Linked DNA regions of Elephas maximus indicus. The protein of the gene in region 1 purifies or fractionates together with the protein of each later gene. This does not show direct contact. Links are inferred from orthologs where the notes say so. Each region holds a gene or a part of one and is shown on either strand. Other genes may lie near its edges.

Region 1 (10,685 bases):
AGTCGGCTGCTAAACGAAAAGTTGGCAGTTCAAACCCACCCAGCGGCTCCATGGGAGAAAGGCCTGGCAACCTGCTCCTGTAAAAATTACAGCCTAGGAAACCCTATGAGGCAGTTCTACTCTGTCAGATGGAACCAACTCGACAGCATCCGACAACAATGACACACTTTCGGAATCCTGCTTTTTCACACACACTCCCTCTCTCTTCTGAATAAAAGGTTGGTTGTATCACAGGACGAAAATTAAATTTGTCTATGTAGACCGCAAAAACTTTGTTTACATAATCTGTTACCTGTTTGAAGGAGCTCTGGTGGCACAGTGGTTAAGTCCTGATCTGCTAACCAGTCAGCGGTTCAAACCTACCAGCAGCTCCACAGAAGGAAGATGCGGCAATCAGCTTCTGTAAAGATTTACTGCCTTGGAAGCCCTATGGGGCAGTTCTACTCTGTCCTATAGGATCACTATGAGTCAGAATCGACTCAACAGCAATGTGTTGGGTTTGTTTTTTTTTTGGCATCACACATTTGAAACCTCCTTAAGTGGTAAGCCATTATTTTTACTGTTCTGAATTGGTTAAGAACAAGACCTAATCACATTTGAAGAATTTTTGCTGTTTATAACTTCCATCCCTACAGCCAGGATCAGAAGTTGAAATTTTAGGCATCAAGAATTAGATTTCAAAAAGGTTCCCCTCAGTCTACTGGTTAAGGCCCTCTTTATCGATTCTCCTGAAGTGAAATACATAGATACATATAGATACACACACATCCACATATATAATCTATTAACACCTTAAACTTCAAAACACACACATACACAAGAACATGATGGCAACTCACAGTCCTGGTCCTCGAGGGCCTTCTAATTCAGCAGGCATGTCGAAATTAAGATGATACACAGCAATAAGTTCAGTACCAGGCAGTATGTAATAAAGGATCTCAAATTCAAAATTGTGTCCTATTTTGTTACCCGTATATAATGTCATTTCTCTGCTATCTACAAGTGCACAAGAAGCATCTGAAGAGAAGCGCCTTTCAACCAGCTTTGTACACCTGATATGGTATCACGCATATGAAAGGTGCAACAAATAAGAATATAATTTCAGGAAATCTTTAGTACTTTAAACGTCACAATACAGCTAAATTTTCAAAACACTACAGGTTTTGACTAAGACATAGTGAAAACATTCTACCATAAAAATAAATTCCTCTAAATCAATTTAAACTTTGTTTTTCATAACAATACTTTCATCCCATGATCTATGATGCAACAGAAGGAAATCAACCCCCAGGTTATTACTGGCCTCCCTCACCTGAATATAGCACTGACACAGTCAACTAGATCATACAATTACCTGCTGATTTTTAAATACTGTCTCACATCCGTAAGAAATAATAGTCTCCAAATATATTCAGCTGTGGATGTTTCATATGTATTTATCCTACTTTACAGTAAATTCTGCATGTTCCATATATGTATACATTCATAAATTTTGATGTGAGAATTTTCACATATATTGTGGAAATAACTTAAAATAGTTCCCTCAAATTTGACAAAGTAATTTTTCAGCTGCAAAATGAACAAAAAAGAATGATTTTTTTTTTAACACAAATTACAAAAATCTATGGTTCAACCTAAAACACACAGCAGGCTTTATAATACTTTCACCTTTAAAAAGGTATATTTACAACTACAGTGTTAACACTAGTTTTAGTATTAACTTGGACTTCTAAAAACCCATTCATTCTGAAAAGTTCAATATTTTTGCATGTCTTATTTCAATACAATCTCTTGATTCTCAGGATAAGGCTCTTGCTTGTTGTACTGCACAACCAACAGCTATTCAGAACGAACACAGAACATCTGACATGACCAATCCAATTCTCCAAATAAAGGGGAGAGATACAGATGGAAATGCAACAAAGTAACATTAATGAAAAGTATATACAGGCCAAGGACATATGTTGAAAACTCCGAAAGAAAATAGCATAAAAAATTATTTTGACTGGGACACAGTTAAGTAAGGAGAGGAACTAAGACAACACCAAACATTGGAAGTGTTGGGGCGGAGAGCAGGCAGAGCACAAACTGGGCTGTTAACAAAGGCGGAAGCTAGGGGCTTGACTCCCACTCAAACACAGAAGGCAAAGAGGCAATAGGAGATAAAGTCTAGGTGAAGTGAGTTTGATGGCAGTATCTGTTGGCAGTCTCATAAGCACTATGAAAATCCTGTGACCCAACATCCAACAGCCTCAGGGTGGGCATCCCTCAGTATATCCTTCACAGAAGAACAGCTATTAGACTAAGCAACTAAACCAAAAAACAAAACCAAACCCATTGCCATCGAGGTGATCCCGCCTCATAAAAACCAAAAACCAAACCCACTGCCGTCGAGTCGATTCCGACTCATAGCGACCCTATAGGACAGAGTAGAACTGCCCCATAGAGTTTCCAAGGAGTGCCTGGTGGATGTGAACTGCCAACCTCTTGGTTAGCAGCCATAGCACTTAACCACTATGCCACCAGGGTTTCCGAGTCCTGCCTCAAAGATACCCTGTAAGACAGAGTAGAACTGTCCCATAGGTTTCCAAAGAGCAGCTGGTGGATTCGAACTGCCGACCTTTTGGTTAGCAGCCTGAGCTTTTAACCACTGTGCCACCAGGGCTTACTCCAAAAATGACAATACTGGGTTTTTCCTCTTAAGAGTCTCAGGCAATTTTAAGGCTCCCAATGGTCACACTTCCCACCCCTGTTAAAGGAAACTGCCCACCTCTTTGCATAGATCTCAGTGTGAGATTAAAAAAGCTTAAAATGAATTTGCCTGAGTTTAAAACTCTGTATTCTCTCACTCAAGAAATCAGTCAACCAATCAAGGGCACATATTAGCAGTCTTACAATTTCTGATACTGATTTTGATGGCAGAAAGTACTAAAAGAGAGGGCTGGGGTAAGGATGACACATTTTTGCTTAAGAGCAGTCAGGCTTACGAAAAGAGGTAGGAGGCAACCATAAGCTGTTACTGACATGATTGCTTACATGATTTATTCATTTTGTTTTCATCCTTAACTTTTAACTTTATATAAAGAGCTTTGTTCCCGTTGAACACAAAAAATGGTGTTACTGTGGTATGTATATGTGCCCTTTTCAGTATCCCACATATAACTAACCTCATTTACTGACCTAGAATGGCTTTGAAAAGTATAAAACCATTAAGCAGTTTGTGATGTAAGGCTTAAAAGAAATAGCAGAAACTGATGAGACCTTAACTGTAAATATCAAACTGTGAATAACTCTTTAAACCAAATAGTGATAAAAGTCCTTTCTAGGTTTGAATGAACTACCCTTTTTCTCAAACTTTCAAAAACTGTAGATTATGCCAGGATGCCTGAACAGTCTTCTCTTTTTCAGTTTTCCGAGGGAACCTGTCATTGCTTCTTCACACAAAAATCACACCAAGTCTGTTCCCTTTTCTTGAACCACTAATTTTAAGGCACTTTTTTTTTTTTTATTTAACTCTACACGAACACACTAGTTAAAGCCAGTGAGGCTTTAGAACTGCAGGTGACAGATGCAGTCAGACAGCTCACAGATGTGGACTGGATGCACTTGGAGTCTTACAGCAGTAATCACGCTCAAAATCTGCAGATGCACATCTCGGCAGAAGGAGCAATTTCTAAAATTCGTCCTTCTCTATTAGATTTACTTTTGGGACTATTACTAAGCGCTTTTCCCGACCCTCAACCCTGCTTAGCCCTACCTACAACTTATTTTATCTTCCCCAGTTCCAGATTCTTCTTCGTCAAACCCGATTTTGTTTTTAAAAATATAATAATCAAGTGGGGCTGCTGGTATCGCCAGAACCAGGAACCGACGAAGCTGCTATTCGGAAGCCTTCCCGCCGAGGCAGAGAGGCCGCTGGAAGTTTCCTGAGAAGCAAAGGACCCCCAGCATCTTTACACGGTCCCTCCTGAGTGAGGAGGGCTCCGCAGACAGTCGGGACTCTCCCTTCCCCTGTCTTTCCCGGTTGTGGTTAACAGAAAAATAAAACGCCTCTCTTCTCGCACCGCACCGGCTAGATAACGCTCCCAGCCGGTAAGGCCCCACCCCCACCCCGTTATCCCTAAAGGGATTCCCCAGTAGCGCCCCGTCCTCGTAGGAAGCCGACCCTCCCGGGGCTCGCCGACTGATTTCCCCCACCCCAGCTCCTCCCGTCCAGTCCGTTGCCCCCGCATGCCTCACCCGAACACCGCCCCGGCTCGCACGCCGGCCCCGCGCCCCGCGCCCCGCAGCCCAGCACCCGGCACTCAGGCCGCTCCGCCGCACCCCCCCACCCCCGCCAAGGGTCGCCGACGGGGTTACCGTGGGAAGAGGGGGCTGCGGCAGAGGACGCGGCGGCAGCGCTGCTGCCGGTAACGTCGGACGCGAAGGATAAGCTGGAGGACAAGGATGATGATGAGGCGGGCGCGCTCCCCAGTCTCCATGGAACTCCCGCCCCGGCCGGTTGCTAGGAGCCCCTGAGGCTCGGGCTCCGTCTTTCGGGCTTTGTTGTTCCGGGTACAGGGCAGCCGCTGCTTCCCCGCGACAATAAATAGAGGAGACGCGGGGGAGCATAGAGACGCGCACGAAGGCTAGAGCGCCGCCGGACTGGGCGCTACTCGGTTCCTCGCTAGCCACACATTTCCGGCTCTCACTGTTCCCGTCACTTTCTCCCTCCCCTTCCACTCTGCCTTCCTCCTTGCTGGTCACCGAGCCAGACCCTTCCTGCCCTAGAGCTTGGCCAGGCACGGGTTGGGGGGGCGCTCTAGGGCAGTGGGCTGGACTTTTATTTTTTGCTTGAGAGCTGCTTTAAAAGATTCTGAAAAAAACTGTCTCCCTTGTAGATTTTTAATTGATACCTAAACATATGTACTTAATTTCTGCCGTACAATATGTTATAAACCGGCTTTAATTTTGTCGTCAAAGCCTTAGAATTTTCCCTTTGCTTGTTCAACTTACAGAAAAGGTTCACCATTCAACATAATTGGTAAAGTTAGTCCTGAACAACTAAATGAGACTTGTTTTCTGTCTGAAAAACTTTTTAATTTTTTTCAATTTAAATGCGTTCATTTACGACGTCGCGATAAAAATCTCACTACGGAATTCTAATCCTAGTCCTGAAACCAGTGATAGGGGATAGAAGGATGGATAGGTAGATGGGTGGATAATGCAGGGAACTTCTGCCACATTTTTGCCGCCTGCCCCTTCAGTATTCCTTACGGAACTTCGGTTTGCGGTCAGGTCTCCCTCGGCGCCAGGAGGCACTTCAGAGCCTTTTACACCGGTAGCCAGATGGGGGCGGGAAGGGAGGTGGCAGAGGGCGGCTGCAGGTTGGGCTGGAGAGAGGAGAGGCCAGCAGGCAGGAGAAGCGGTCGGGCTGCTCAGGCCGTCCGGAGTAGGAGGGTGCTCACATGGAAGCTGGGCGTCCAGGATTGAGGCCCTTACGCGGCTCTGCGCCCTGGAATCACTCGGGGAGAACGCGTAGGGGTGTAGTCTTGCCAGTTTGAACCGCCAGGCTGGGAACCAAACGAGGCCTTGGGACTCCTCCGGAGTGGCCTGAGAGGTGCTGCCCGCGGGCCGAGACCCGCCTAACGGCCCGAAAGGGTTGCGCGCGCGCGAACCCCGAGACCCCCAACTCCCAGGCCAGTCCGCTTGGGCCTTGATCCCAAGCCTGAGTCCATTCAGCAGCCTCGTTTCAGGAGCCTTTAGGTGAAGCCAATGGGCAGCCCCGATTTAATTATTAAAAGGCCACGAGGCAGACTTCATGGGTGCCTGGACTCTGGTGTGAATTGAGGTTGAAAAATCATGCCATTGTTCTTTTGAAAGAGAAAATGTGAGCTGAATTCTGGGAGATTTCGGAGTACACAGCCATTTGAGTATGTAATTCTTTACAGATTCGCCAAGGATGGCCGCTTGATCTTTTTGCTTTGCACGCTGAGTGTTCAGAAAAATATCCATGCATTTTAAAACATAGAATGGTGGCATTTCCATTTTGTTTCCATTTCTGTAGTAACTTACTGTTTGAATGTTGTTGTGTGCTGTCTAGTGGATTTTGACTGTAGTGAAGCCTTGTGACAGAATAGACCTGCCCCGTAGGGTTTTCTAGACTGTAATCTTTACAGCTAATCTCCAGGTCTTTTCTCCCACGGAGGAGCTGGGTGGGTTCCAAGCATGACCTTTCTGTTAGCAGCCAAGTGCTTAGCCTTTGAGCCACCAGAGCTCCTATTGTTTGAATACCAAACACCCAACTAAACTCGCCTCCAGACTCATAGTGACCCTTCTGGGGAGCATCTGCTGGGTCCCAAGTCCTCACCTCTGGTTAGCAGCCGATAACCAAGTACCACCAGGTACATTGGTTTGAATATTAAATAGTTATAGGTTATATTAGGAGCCCTGGTGGTACAGTGGTTAAGCACTCTTGCTAACCAAAAGGTCTGCAGTTCGAATCCACCAGCCGCTCCTTGGAAATCCTGTGGGGCAGTTCTAGTCTGATTTATAGGGTCGCTGTGAGTCGGAATCTACTCAATGGCAACATGTATTAGGTGTTCGGAAGCAAATAAACAAGAGGCAGTGTTAGAAAATAATGTCTATGCTGTAGTGGGGAGAGGACTTTTAGGAGGTAACATTTCAGCCCAAATCTAAAAAAAGATGGGCTGGGAGGTATGTACATGTAGTGTTCTAGGCAGAAGGAACAGAATGTCCTAAGAGCTTGCTGTGCTGGAGTCTGGGTGTGGTTGGGGCACCTTGAGTGAAGCGGCATGAGATGAAGTTAGAGAGAAGCCTACAACATTTTTTAGGCCATATAAATAGTTTGGCTTTTCTTCCAAATTCTAGGGGAAGTGAAGAATTTTAAACTGAAGAGTAAATGGCCTAGTTTACAAAGGAAGTGGCATGGAAAAGGCTCTGTTCCAGTGGCTGTTGCCACTGCTGAACATTCAATGTTATACCAGCAGTGACCAATTCTAAGATCCTTATGAGGTACCCTCCCTCAAGGAGACCAACAAGTTACCTGGCATCAAGCATGTCAATTACTCTGGACTCCCTTTTGTCGTGTGTGGATCAACAGTTTGCCTCACTATGATAGTTCCTTATTCTGGAATTGGATTTTGTTTTGCTGCCAGCTCTGCTCTGAATGGACTTATTGAATGGTTATAGACTATCACATTATCCCGTAAAATATCCCTCTGACCAAGGAATTCATTTCGCAGTGAAAGAAGTAAGACAATGGGACAAAACCATGGGCTTCATTGGTCTTATAATGTGCCTCGTTAATCAGGGCCCAGCTGAGAGACAACACTCTGTAGGATTAGAATACGCAATATACATTCTGAACCAAGACTCTTGATTAATGTGAAGACTGATACCTGGAAATGGGGAATTGCAATTGTCAGACCCTAAAATGTACTACTGGCTTAGTCAAGGTGGGGTGGGTACAGTGAAAAGCAATCCATCCCAGTTTGGGAAAATAAGCAAGCTTTATTGATTAGGTCCCTGGGTGGTGCAAAAAGTCCTACTAACCTGAAGGTTGTTGGTTAGAACCCACCCAGCAGCACCATGGAGGAAAACCCTAGCAATCTGCTTTCATAGGGATTGCAGCTGAGAAAACTCCATGGAGCTGTTCTACTCTGTAACCTCTGTAATGCATGGGATCGCCATGAGTCAGAATCTACTCAACAGCAATAGGTTTGGGATTTTGGTTTATAGATTCGAACAGTGCTACTGAAAATGTGATGTACAGACCAAAGCCAGTCTTCAAACTGCACTGGTCAACAATGAAATAGAGAAATTGAGGGGAGCATTTTGAAGCTTAACAATTTCACATTGCAGCATCATTTAAGCATGCAGTTTTGTATCTTATGAAAGCATTTATCTGTGATGGGTTGGTAATTAAAAACAAACAAACTGTGGTGCAGTGAATTACTTAATACAGCCCTTCTAGCCATGCACGGTCTTTGTAACTCCCACAAAATGTTTGGGTGGGACTATGCAAATAAGGTGCTTGTGGCCCACCGAGGGGATTGGAAAGCTTGCTAATAATGCAAATCAGGTATATGGAACCCTAATGAGGGGATTGGTTAGTTTTGCCATCCCACTAGACTTAAAGGGAGCCAATCCCAGTAGCTGAGAGAAGGTGATCTTACTGCCACCAAGAAGAGGAGCTGAGTGAAGCACATCCTTTGGACCCAGGGTCCCTGCGCTGAGAACCTCTTAGACCCAGGAGACATAGTTGTAACACTGGAGATGGCAAGAAGCTGTGGCAAGCACTGCAGAGTCCATTGGCAGAGAAATGGCAGCAGCAGAATCAGGAGACAGTGCAATGGGCTTCCCAGCCCATGGAGCGAGGCGGCTACAGTGGGTGTGCAGCCCCACAGAGCAAAACAGCTGAGCGCCTTAGGGCTGAGGCTTACTGGTGGAGCAGGATGCCTTTGGGCACTTATTGGCAGAGCTAAAGCAGTTTGTAACACTTCCCTGAGCAGGGCAGAGGCCAGGCCAAGAGTCTGAGAGGCCAAAAACCAGAAAGAGGGCTGCCTGCGGGCGCATAGCTGAGAAATCCTGCCCTGATCAAAGAAGTGTATCCTGAGTCATTCCTTATCCTGAATTGTAACCTATTACTTCCCTAAAAAACCCCTTAATCATAAATATAGTCTACGAGTTCTGTGTAGCCATTGCAATGAATTATCAAAACCAGCAGAGAAGTAGAGTGCCGTGGGAGGGAAGGCTGGTGTCAGAATTTGTCAAAAAGATTGGAGAGAGGAGGTATGTCTGACCACCTCACAGGAATCAGCTTTGGACTGATCTTGATTCTCTTTTCCCCTCGAAATTACACAAGGAGTTCTGACCCCACCCTCATGCCATTTTTACACAAACAAACTGATTCTTTATCACAGGTAGTTGGAGAGGCACTGGTAGATTATTACTTGTTATACCAACAAAGCTGTAGCTTTAGGGAACTTGGGAAAAAAGAAAATCAGGCTACTGGAATATGTTGGCTACTTCTTGCCTACTTCAGTGCTATGAAATAATCAAACTATAGTTCAGCATGGCCTTCCAGAGATGGGTAATATGGAGCAAAAATTATACAGCATTGTTAGATGGGTCTTTTCTGCCAATGGTTATTTATCTTGGACTGATAAGGATCAGATAATATCTCTTCTGCCAATTGAAATAACTAAATTTTCTGCCCCACCAAAAGTTAAAGCACTAACTAGGAATACAGAGACCCAGGATAACCATGCGATCAGGGATGCCTCATTCCCAAGGAATCTTCCCCAACATCTGCTATGCCCCTTAAAAAAAAAAAAAAAAAAAATCATTGCCCCTTCCCAACTGAAAAAGGGAAAAAATAACTCCCATTATGCCAGTTGAGTGGTGTACAACTAAAGGGATGGAGTCTGATTAACTTCGCTTCATAACTCCAGCCTGTTCCTACCTACTGCCCTCAGATAGAGTCAATGGCAAAAGCCATTTAACTGAGATCTAGGTAGATGGAAGGAGTTGCCAGGCCTGTTTCCAAGAGATAGAAACTGGGAGGGCAGGGTGCATATTCAAAACTTGTGACTCAAAGAGATGTCTGATAACAAGTTAATGATTTCTCCCTAAATGACATTGGCAGCCAACTAAAGTTTTAAGGTATTGCCAAAAAGTCCACAGCCTGGCAAGAGGCACCTACTGTTGTGCTGTCTCAAAGGCAGCGTCCAGTCTCCATACCTATAAAAAAAAAAACCTATAGAAAGGTGATTTAGACTGTCAGTGTATTCCTGAGAAGGTAATTCCTTCTCACTGTCTCTCTAAGGCAAGATCTTGGAGGGCAATGGACGAAGGAAATTTTGGCACTTTAAGTGACAAAATGTCTTAGTCCTCTGCTGGAGAAGTGGAGTCCTTATTACCCTCATCCAACATTATATAGCGTTTGCTCACAACCACTGTATGTTGCTTATCCTTTATGCCTTTTCTCATGAGTTTTCGTTATTCCATTTCCCTCTCCCTTGTTGTATTTTTTTTTTTTTTGTATATTGGTGCATTGGAAATAAATTTATTATTCATGATTTAGCAACATCTGGCCCTGATCAAGATTGATAACACACAAATATCCTAAAATTTGAAGCTAGATTCAATGTCTAGAGGTGAGTTTGAGTTTTCTCCTGCCACTGGAAAGGGATCTGAGTATATTATTGCTGCTTTTCTATTAAGGGAAACTGTAGATATGGGAAAATCAGTGTGTGTGTGTGTGTGTGTGTGTGTGTGAGAGAGAGAGAGAGAGAGAGAGAGAGATCATATAGGCACTGAGAAGCCAGATGATGATGGGTGTTGTTGTTGTTAGGTGCCGTCAAGTTGGTTCCGACTCACAGTGACCCTATGCACAACAGAACAAAACACTGCCCAATCCTGTACCATCCTTACAATGGTTGTTATGCTTGAGCTCATTGTTGCAGCCACTGTGTCAATCCACCTTGTTGAGGGTCTTCCTCTTTTCTGCTGGCCCTGTACTCTGCCAAGCATGATGTCCTTCTCCAGGGACTGATCCGTCCTGACAACATGTCCAAAGTATGTAAGACGCAGTCTCTCCATCCTTGCTTCTAAGGAGCATTCTGGTTGCACTTCTTCCAAGACAAATTTCTTTATTCTTTTGGCAGTGCATGGTATATTCT
Region 2 (10,613 bases), on another chromosome or scaffold:
CATTTTTCTACGGCTATTGCATTTAATCGTCTAAACAACCCTATAAGGTAAATACTACTAGTTCTCATCTTACAGATAAGAAAATTGAAAAATGGAAATAGCTTTCCCAAGGTGAGAGAAATAGATGATAGAGTCAGAATTTGAAACCAATTATTTGTGCACCAAAGCCAGCATCCTTCACTAAACAATGCTGTCTCTTGCATCAAAGTCAGACACTCATGCTATGGAAAAAGTATGGATTAGTCTCTAGAAAAAAGAATGTTTTGATAAAAATGCATGAATTTTTTTTTTAAAAAAAGCCAACTCACAGTTTTCAATTCCATCAGGACTTGTTCATCTACTCCATCATCCAGAAATATGTCTCTCACATCATTAATAACGTCTTCAATCACAGATCTGTATAACTTAGGCTTCGAAAGAAAAATGAAAGACTGCTGAAAAAGACTATTTTTTATATATTAAAATGCATAGTAGGTTTTCACAAACTCAAGACAAATTAGTCATTTTAAAAATGACCTAAAATTTATAAATGTTTAAATTATTTAGTGCAATTCATAAGCCGAATGCCCTTATACATACGAGGTCCACACAATTTCCAGTTATAATTTCCTCTCCTGTAGTCAAAACACCTAATGTGATGCTCGATAATAGCTTTATGGGTTGCTTATGTCTAGCTTCTATTATTCCCTGCTTGGTGTGAACCCTGTTTTATCTCACAACCTTGTCACTAAGTCTTAGATTTTTAAAGAAGCTTAGGAAACCCTGGTGGTGTAGTAGTTAAGAACTACGGCTACTAACTAAAAGATCAGCAGTTTGAATCTACCAGGTGCTCCCTGGAAACCCTATGGGGCAGTTCTACCGTCCTTTAGGGTCACTATGAGTCGGCATCAACTTGACAACAGGTGTGTGTGTGTATATCCTGTAGTCATTTCCCTGGTAATAAATCTGGAACCTAATGAGGATTGAAGTTCAAAAATCACCTAATTTCTGTTCCTGTGACCCACTCTGTATCTTAAAGTTCTATCATTAAATTGTTCCCATATCCACAACGATAGGTCTCAACGTCCGAGACGAACCAGTTATACTGATCTCTTTCCCAGGACCTCCCAAAATTTATTATTACTATTATGGCTAGTATTATTTGGTGGATATTATTGTTGGTACTACATTGCTTGGTATTATTATTACTATTATTGTTGGTACTTGGCAGCTGGCTTCTAGAAGATTGCCAGGATAAAATGCGAGTGTCTATGAAAACCACTTTCAAACATATTTTTTAAAAACTAAAAGGTGAGACGTAGAACAATTAGCCCAACCCACATCCTATTTTTAACATGTTAGACAAAAGGAAGTTTGCAGCCAGACTGGTAAAACTAGAGGTGCCTTGTTATTATCACATACACATATGGTTAACATTTCTTTCTTAAAATTATTTGTCATTATTTTTATTTTATACCTCGTTTAAGGTGAAAGTTATTGGCTGCCCAATAAAGCCAAGGATTTGCTCTCATAAGCAAACTTCAAAGAGAAATAAATGTTTCAGTAGCATTTCTACCTGCAATATTGTTATCACAGGGGAACCCTCAAAGAAAAATGTACTCTTGTCTGACAAAAAACATGTACTGAGTTTGTTAGCACAACTCGCATCTGCCATTAAAAACCATTCATTTCTTCTCATGACAACCAGAAAAACCATTTATTTCTCTAAGTTCTCACCCTTGCTATGCCAATCACTAACTGGCTTTGTCATTTTGCCAAATTTGCCTTTGTGAACTTAAAAATGATTTATCCGTAAAATGTACATCTCAACAATGCCTCCTTATTTTAGCATTCCGATTCTACTTACAAGGGAAGTGTATCTGATTACGGGTATCATCTATACCTACATTGATTTATCTACTGAATTACAAAACTACATGGATAAAGTGGGGTTTTTTTTTTAACCAATAATGACCCCCTCGAGGCACTATAAAGGAAGCAGGTATTCTTAAATTTGTAGCATAAATCTCAAATTGACAATACAAATTATTTTGCCAGCAAATGAGATGTTTTGGTGTTCCTGAAGTCCGTTAACCCTAAAAATCTTTTGCTTAAAGATACAGACATTTACAGACAGAAATACGCTATCTTCTGGTACTCGCAATTTAATTAATCAATCTTGTCTTAAGGCTTTCCTTTTCTACATTAAATGAACCTATGACTTGAACACTTAAAATAGGAAGGGAAATATGTATTCTTCATGAAGTATATACACAAATAACAACTTAGGAAAATTGCTCGTGAGTTGAAAAGTCCTCAAAATATTGATGCTTTATTTTAAAGTACATGGGCGCACAGGCACTATGTGATATAAAACCAAAATCAAACCAAACCCATTGCCTTCGATTCAATTCCAACTCATAGAGACCCTGTGGAGCAATATCCAGGCCATTACTTAAAATTCTAAACTTTACTTGAGCCAAAGTGTTTCTTGCACTTAATGCAAGGCAATTTAGGAGATATTCCAAACTTAAAAACTGGTAAATTAGAGGGCAATTAGTGACACTACCAAGTGATTAATTAGAAGGTTCCTTTCAAAAGTCTTAGAAGGTTCCTTGGGCATACAAAATGATTCAAGTTATATACTTCTGACAAAAACATCCATATTATAGCAATTAAAAGAATTTTAAACCCAGAATGCACAGCAACATTGGAAAATAAACTGGATTAATTTTATACTGGATACCATGTTATCATCCAATGCAATACAGGGAATCTACTTAGATTTTTAATTTTAAAATCCAGTTTGCACTAAATCTCCTCATTCGTGACTCACAATTCCCCTACACATAAATTTACCGTGGAGAAAAAATCCTAAGGTAAAGCTTTAGCCACTTATCTATGACCTCTGAAAAGCTTTCTGTCTTCAGATATTAGCAGAAAACATATTGAAACAATAAAAAAATATGAAATATCAGGAGCTAGATTTCTAAGTTTCCTGAATACTTGATAAAATTATCCCTTCCCAAATCAAGTCCTCTGCAGCTGACACTTAATATAGACAGCATTTTTAAATTCCCGACAATAAGGTACACACCTTCCAGTACAAGAAATAGGATTAAACCCTGTTACTTAAAATTTCTCTTTAAAAAAAATAAATAAAAATAGAAGGGATAGTAATTCGGAATGTTTTCCCCTGGCAAACCAAAGAAAGCAAACCCTAGCTGCAGCATCAAAACATCTGAGGCTCTGAAAGCAGCCCCCCTGAGGGGCGAGATTACAGCGTTAAGAAAAGGACCCAGGAATAAATTGAGCTCTACACACGCCAGCCTCTCGCCTCGGGAGCACGAACCTCCCAGCCCTGCTCGCAGCAGCTCTCACTATTTAAAGCCGGATCTGGTGTTTAAATGGAGAGGCGGTGACGTAGGCCTGAAAAGCACCTTCCCATCCTGGCAGAGTCTATATTAGAGAGCGGCAATGGCTCTATATAAACAGGGCAGCCAAAGGGAGGAGGACCACAAGGCTCAGGGACTGAAAAGCAGGCTAAGCGGCCGCAGCCATGATGGATCGACCCGAGTCGCCAACGGTACGGTGTCGGGCGGCCGCGGGCTGGTCTGCGGCATTCGGGACCGGGCAAAGACGTGTTTTATTGGCACAATAAAAATAAGAGAGTCGGGGGGACTAGTGATCACATTGCGTTGGGGACTGAAAAGGTTTTTTATGTGACTGCTTTTTGCAAACCTACGTGATCGCAAGTAACCAAAAAATGGGCAAACGGGGGAGAAGGAGGCAAATTTTAAGGCGAAAGCAGGGGCACTTTGACCACTGTAGGCTTTTTTTTGTTTGTTTTGGTGCTTTTGCTAGTCGGAGATCCGATGGGGGTTTTGCTTCCCCTTCGCCATTTTACCGATTCGGAAGGAACCGAGATAAGTACTTTTCAACCTTCGTCCGTTTTCCTTAGACATAAAATGGCCCCAATGAAGGGTCCCAAAGCCTAAGCCAGGAAAACCCAGACTAGCCCCCGAAGTGGCATCAGCCTTCCACTGCATTCAAGTGGACCGCGGCGGGGCTTGGGGCTGGCCCAATTCCCCAGACACGGTTTTTGTTTTGAGGTGCTCGGGGAGCCCTCGTCGAGCTCGGACGGGCCCACTTCGGGGGAGGCGGCGGCTCCCCTCCTCCCTCCCGGCGCCGGGGTCTGGGGCCGGGCCGCGCGCTCGCCCCGGCCAACCGCCTCCGCGGCCCGGCCCGCCCCAGGCCCCGCCGCCGCCCCCTCCCGCCGCCGCCGCCGCCGCCGCCGCGCGAGCCCTCGGCGCCCCCCCGCGCCCGCGCCCGGCGCCCGGCCCGGTCCGCCCGAGGCGGGAAGCGGCGGCGGCCGCGCGGGCGGCTGAGGAGAGTCGAGGCCGGGTGTCGCCGCCGTCCCCGCCCCCGCCCGGTCCGGCCGTTGCTGCCGCCTGCATGAAGCCCCCGCCGGCCACCGAACCACGTCCTTACCACGGTGTTTGTGTTTGCCGAGTTCGCCATTTCCACACACAACACAAATAAGAGGGGGGTGAACCCCGAGAAAACAAGGTAAAAACAAAATCAAAAAAGAAAAAGCAAAACCAAAACACCCGGAGGTGACCCGAGCCACCGCACGACTGGGAAAAATTGTAAAATCGGATCCCGAAGGTGTAGAGAGGGGAGCGGAGAGAGGAGCGGGGGGGCACTCCTCCCGGGGCTAAAAACCTCGAGAACCGCCTTCCCCCAGAAAAAAAAAAAAAAAAAAAACCAAGACCCTCCGGGGGTCCGGGGGGCGTTGCCCGCTCCCCACCCCGCGCGAAGGAGGGAAACCACCACCGGTCGCCGCTCCCCGCGCCGCCGCTGCTGCCACCGGCTGCAGCTCCAGCCGTCCGGTCCGCCCGCTTCTCCCCTTTATATAGCGAGCCAACGCGCTGCGCGAGCCGCCGCCGCCGCCGCTCCGCCGAGAGACAGGGCGGAGGGGGAGGGAGGGACGGAAAGGGCGGGGGCAGAGGTGGGCGGGGCCGAGCGCGAGACACCGCGAGAGCCGCGTGCGCAGGCGCGCCGGGGCGGAGGCCGCCGCGGGCCGCGTCGTCACGCGCCGTGGAGAGTGCTGGGCGGGCGGAGCCCGGGGACAGGAGTAGTGAAGTGGGGCTGTGGCTTCTCCAAGTATCGCGTGATCACGTGGTTGGCACTCAGGCGGAAGTCTTCGGAAGCCCATTTGGGTTGAGAAACTTGCAAAACACTTGTGGGAAAGGCGCGAATTCTAGTAACACGGGTATCTAAAGCTGGCTTGTTCTGCCTCGTGGCAGACGTTTCCGCGCCGCCCCGTGCTGGAGGAGCTCCGAATGTGACAGGGGCGGTGGCAGCAGCCTACACAGGCATGGCCGCGGAGGAGGGCCGGTCACGTGTTCTGTACCGGCCCGTGTCGAGGTCCGACCTGGGGCAGTTTTAAGTGCGGAGTCATCTCTCCCGGCGTGAACTGAGATCACACTGCAAGCTGCGCCGTGTTAGCGCTTCTCACTGAGTGTGGACCTTCTCTCGGTTGTTTCTGAAGGGGCTGAAGGCTGATTTGGGCCTATGTTTTCGTGTTCCAGAAGCAGTAATCTGAAACCGCCGAGCCGTTTGTCACCGTATTGAGGCCGGTGACGGAGTTCCCAAAGCTTCGGCCATTATTAGTTGACGTACTTTAAATAACTTCTCACGCTCGTGGAAATGCCAAAAACGAAACGGAACACCATCACTGGAATAAGGAAGTACAATAACTTTTCCTGATTTTTTAAATATTGCGGCTCCATATGGCCAGCACGTAGTGACTAATCATATCTGAAATGCATGCCCTTGACCCACCAACTCTCGTGGCGTCTCGCTGTGAGAGCGAGCAGAAAATGCCCATGTCTTGGAGTGCAATTCAACAGGTTTTTCCCACATTTGCCCAAGCAAATTCTGCTTTTATATCAACATTTCACGCGGGACAGAGAATGTCCTGTTTAGAGAGCAGACCTCGCAGTACTTAATTTTCTTGTCTCTAGGTGTTTTGATGGAAACCCTGGTGGCGTAGTAGTTAAGAGCTACATTTGCTAACCAAACGGTCGGCAGTGGGAATCCACCAGGCGCTCCTTGGAAACGTTATGGGGCAGTTCTACTTTGTTCTTTAGGGTCGCTATGAGTCCGAATCCACTGGACGGCGGTGGGTTTGGGTTTTTTTTTTTCTTAAGGCATTTTGACAAACGTGTAATCTGAAGCAATGAGGGAGTTTATCCTCAAAGTGCAAACAAAAAAAATGCCAGAAGTTATATGCTGGTGCAACCAGGTTTAAATGACTACCAAAGGCACCCTACCAAGAGGGAGGAAAAAATGCAGCCTCCCCGGATCCGAAGGAAGGGATTAGAGAAAACTAAGGCCATTAAGACTCAGAAATGGGAGATTATGGAATGAGTTTGTGACTAGGCAAAAACCTTGAGATTTCTTCTAATACCATCTGATTACCCACTTTGCTCTTACCACTCCGTCGCTTCACAGTTGACTGCCCAGCTGCCTGATTTGGGACCTTAAAAATACACAGAAAACCATACTATTTTTGGAATATTGTATAAATTATGATCCCATCAACACTCATAATTCACTTAATGTTCAGGTGACAACCAGAAAGATTATACAAAACAATTTCCAGTAAGTTTCACTGCATATTATTTTAAGAGAACGTGTTACCTCCATATATGCACACCCCCAACTCTGCACGTGCCATCTCTCATCTTTCATCTTCTTTTCCTCCCTACGACTTGGTATTGTTAATGAACAAATGTTTTGCAATCGGTTTAGATTAAGACTACTTGCATACAGGAGATGGGGATAATCCACGAGATTTGCTCTCCACAGCAGTGCAAATGGTTAACGTGCTCGGCTGCTAATCTAAAGGTTGGCTGTTGGAGTCCTCGCAGAAATGCTTGGGAAGAAAGACTTGGTGATCTACATCGAAAAATCAACCATCGAAAATGCTAAGGAGTACGGTTCTACTCTGACACACGGGGGGTTGCCATGAGTTGGAGTCAGAGACAACTTGATCACAATTGGGGAGGATTGATCGGGGACACAGGTGACGTTAGTAGTTCCATGGTAGAATTCTTGTCTTCCATGTGGGAGACCCAGATTCAATTCCTGGCTGATGCACTTGATGACCAGCCACCACTCATCTGTGGTGGTTTGCGTGTTGCTAGGATGCTGAACAGATTTCAGCAGAGCTTCCTGAAAAAAGGCCTCGAGATCTACTTCTGAAGATCAGCCACTGAAAACCCTGTGGATCATAAATAACAGTCTTATCCACAACTGATCGTGGGGATGGCAGGGACCTGGCAGCATTTCGTTCCATTGTGCATGGGGTCGCTGTGAGTGAAAGGCTACTAACAACAGCAAAGAGACCTATCAGTCAGTCACAATGAGTGGACCTTATTTGGATCCTGCTTCAAATAAACTGTAAAAGAAAATGATGACAATTATGAAACTATTGGAAACTGAACAGCTCCTGGATATTTAGTGAAATTAAAGTTACTGATAAATTTTTAAGTTTGATAATAGTTCTACTTTAAAATACCCTCTCTTTCAAAAATGTGTACTGAAAAACAAAATAATGAGACTTGAATTTGCTTCAAAATAACACAAAAGCAGAGACATAGATGGAGTATTAATGAGGCAAGTTTGGCCATGAGTGTGTAATGGTTGAAGCTGAGGAAGAGTACTATCTGAGTTACCTGGTGCTGCCATAACAAAAACTTTAAAGAACAGAAATTTATTTTCTCACAGTTCAGGTGGCTACAAGTCCAAATTCAGAGTGTGGCTCTAGGGGCAGTCCTTCCTTGTCTTTCAGCTTCTAGTAGCTGCCAGAAGTCCTTGTGGCTGCATGTGTCTCCTCTGTTTTTCTCTTCTCCTTTTATGTGTCTTCATCCGCTCTGCTTTTTTTCCTAACTCAGAAATGAGTAAATTTAGAGCCCAACCTACTGGGTATGACCTAATTAGCATAACAAAAACCCTATTTCAAGGGCCCTGGGTGGCAGTTGTTAGGAGCTTGGTTGCCAAACGAAAGGTGGCTTGAACCTCCCAGCAGATGTGGCAGTTGGCTTCCGGTTTCCGTAAAGATTACAGCCTTGGAAACCCTGTGAGGCATTTCTACTCTGTCCTATGGGGTCGCTATGCATCAGAATGTACGCCAGGGCAAAACAGAACAGATTTTGGTTTTTTGTTGTTGTTTGCGTGGCACAACAAACAGTTAACACTTGGCTGCTAACCTAAAGGTTAGCAGGCGCTACAGAAGAAAAGCCTTGTGCTCTGTCAAAGGTTACAGTCAAGAGAACGCTATGGAGCAGTTCTAGTCTGTAACACATGGGGCCACTTGAGCTGAAATTGACACCAACGGGTTTGTTTGTTTTCAGTTTAGGGGCCTGGACTTCAATACATGTTTGGGGGAGACAATTCAACCCATAACGGGTACCCATAACCAAACCCATCAATTCCAACTCATAGCGACGCTGTAGGACAGAGCAGAACTTCCCCACAGGGTTTCCAGGGCTATAAATCTTTACAGAAGCAGACTGCCACATCTTTCTCCGGTAGGAGTGGCTGGTGGGTTCAAACCACTAAACTTTCAGCTGGCAGCCAAGCGTTTAAGCACTGTGCCACCAGAGCACCTATAACAGGTACATTGGGGTTTATTAGACTATTCAACCTGTTTTTACATACGTTTGAAATTCTGTATTTAAAAAAATGCTAAAGGGAGCCCAGTGACACATTATTTTACAATCAGTGATGGTTCTTTATTCACACAGCTTGTCATCAGTATTCCCAAGAAGGCCTGGTGTTGTGTTATAAATGTAATTAATATTAAACACTGTGTTTAATTACATGGGTTTCCTCTTTCTCTGATTCTTATATCTCAGCTATTTTTGCCTCATCTTGAATCACAAGTTAAACAACTGTGATTTGGGACAGTTAAAAATGGTTAAATTTACAGGATGCTTGTTCAGATAGTTTTATAAAAAATATTCTTCTAGTGGCCAAATGATCTTTGATTTATTTGCTGCCTTTATCTTCTCGCTTGTATGCCTTCAACTTGATAGAGGCTTCTGATATGACAGACAATTCTGCATAGACAACTTTCTAATAAAATACATCATAGCAGATAAATCTGTAGTTAATCAACTAATTATTACTGAAACTAAATAGGCTGGTTTGCATTCTTTTCCAGAACCTACCGTTCTCTGGTAGTATGGATTAATAAGTAGAGGTAACAGAGATTATAAAACAAAACGTGGCAGGAAGATTATTAGAGATTTCAGGCCAGAATGGAAGTACGGAATCTGCTTAAATACTGTGGGCTGGACTTTGCTTTCACAAGGGTAACTGTGAGAAAATCGGGTGTGATCCAAATACTTTCTTGAGAACCAAGACTCTGGGCTAATGTTTTTGGCTTGCTCTTCAAAAAAAAAAAAAAAAAAAAAAAGTGGCATAGCCAGAAGCAAAAAGAATGAACATTTAAATAAACCAAAAAAAAAAAAAATTGCTTTTTAAAAGACCAAGAAATTTGCCATTTTGTGTTCCCTGCCTAACTGAGAAGCAGTAATAATGATGATGGACTTATTTGGCAGCCTTTGGTTTTTAAAAAACTTTAATCCCAAATTATCTCCTTTAGAGCTTGTAACAGTCCTTTGAGATAAGTAATATTATCCCTTTTTTATGAATAGGAAACTGAGACTCAGGTTAAGTAGTGACTTAATCCAAGCTCATATTGCTATTTACTGGTGAAATCGTAGTGATACAAATTTAAGGTTCTTTCTACCTGTCTTATAGAGGAAAAGCTCTTGGTCCAAGAGAATGTGAAGGGTTTGAATCAGATAATATTGTTCTTGAGTTTTTCCAATACGTGTTAATGATATCATGGGTTAAACTTCATTTGGCAGAAGAGCAACCCTACAGTATGCACATTTGAGACTTGAAGAAGAGAAACTTTACCCCAATTAAATATAATCGCCCTCATAAAAATATCATCAAAAAGCATTTACTAAATCATCTCAGATAACTGATTTCAGTGTTGCTACATCAGTATAAAATCATCATTTTCCTTTTCCAAATAGCATGTACTCAATTATTGAATTTGGCAAGAACAGTTATTTTCTAGCCATATTCTGTATAATCAAAACATTTTGGCCTAGCTTTATAATTACATATTAAATATTTTCATAAAACAAGAAAATGTAGGATGGCCATTTATAGTAGTAGAAAATTGGGAAGGGGAATTCTTTCTCTTTTACCTGTTGGACTAGTGGTATAACTCCCACTTTTTTATGTAGATAGAAAAATCAGTTGTGCCTGTGGCAATGTCATTGCACAATAAATTAGAAGAAACAGCATACAGTAAAAAGAAGGGGATAGTAGGATAGCAAGTACTCAAGAGTATGAACTCTCTAGGTCTAAGAGACCTAGGTGCTAGTCCTGGCTCTGACCATGGGCAAGTCACTTCCTCTTATCTGCAAAACAGCGTCCGTGATATTACTTACTTGAGAGAGTTGTGCGAGAATTAAGAGATAACCTACGTAAAGCTATTTAGCACAGTGCTTAGCACAAAGTAGGTCTCCTGTAAATGTTTG

The links. Proteins that work in one complex are often made in the same cells at the same time.
Region 2: the proteins of TBPL1 (region 1) and GTF2A1 purify together in Homo sapiens (affinity purification with mass spectrometry; 5 studies listed by BioGRID and IntAct, counting the BioPlex papers as one, with this or other methods). This does not show direct contact. The link is inferred for Elephas maximus indicus from reciprocal best matches to the Homo sapiens genes TBPL1 and GTF2A1.

The regions. Positions count from the first base shown.
Region 1 is NC_064819.1:203,375,735-203,386,419, reverse strand, and holds the start of TBPL1 (TATA box-binding protein-like 1), read right to left. Parts: upstream 4,649-10,685; 5' UTR 4,482-4,648; coding exon 4,360-4,481; intron 1-4,359. UniProt on the Homo sapiens protein: Part of a specialized transcription system that mediates the transcription of most ribosomal proteins through the 5'-TCT-3' motif which is a core promoter element at these genes. Seems to also mediate the transcription of NF1. Does not bind the TATA box.
Region 2 is NC_064828.1:94,357,279-94,367,891, forward strand, and holds the start of GTF2A1 (transcription initiation factor IIA subunit 1), read right to left. Parts: upstream 4,947-10,613; 5' UTR 4,501-4,946; coding exon 4,471-4,500; intron 411-4,470; coding exon 309-410; intron 1-308. UniProt on the Homo sapiens protein: TFIIA is a component of the transcription machinery of RNA polymerase II and plays an important role in transcriptional activation. TFIIA in a complex with TBP mediates transcriptional activity.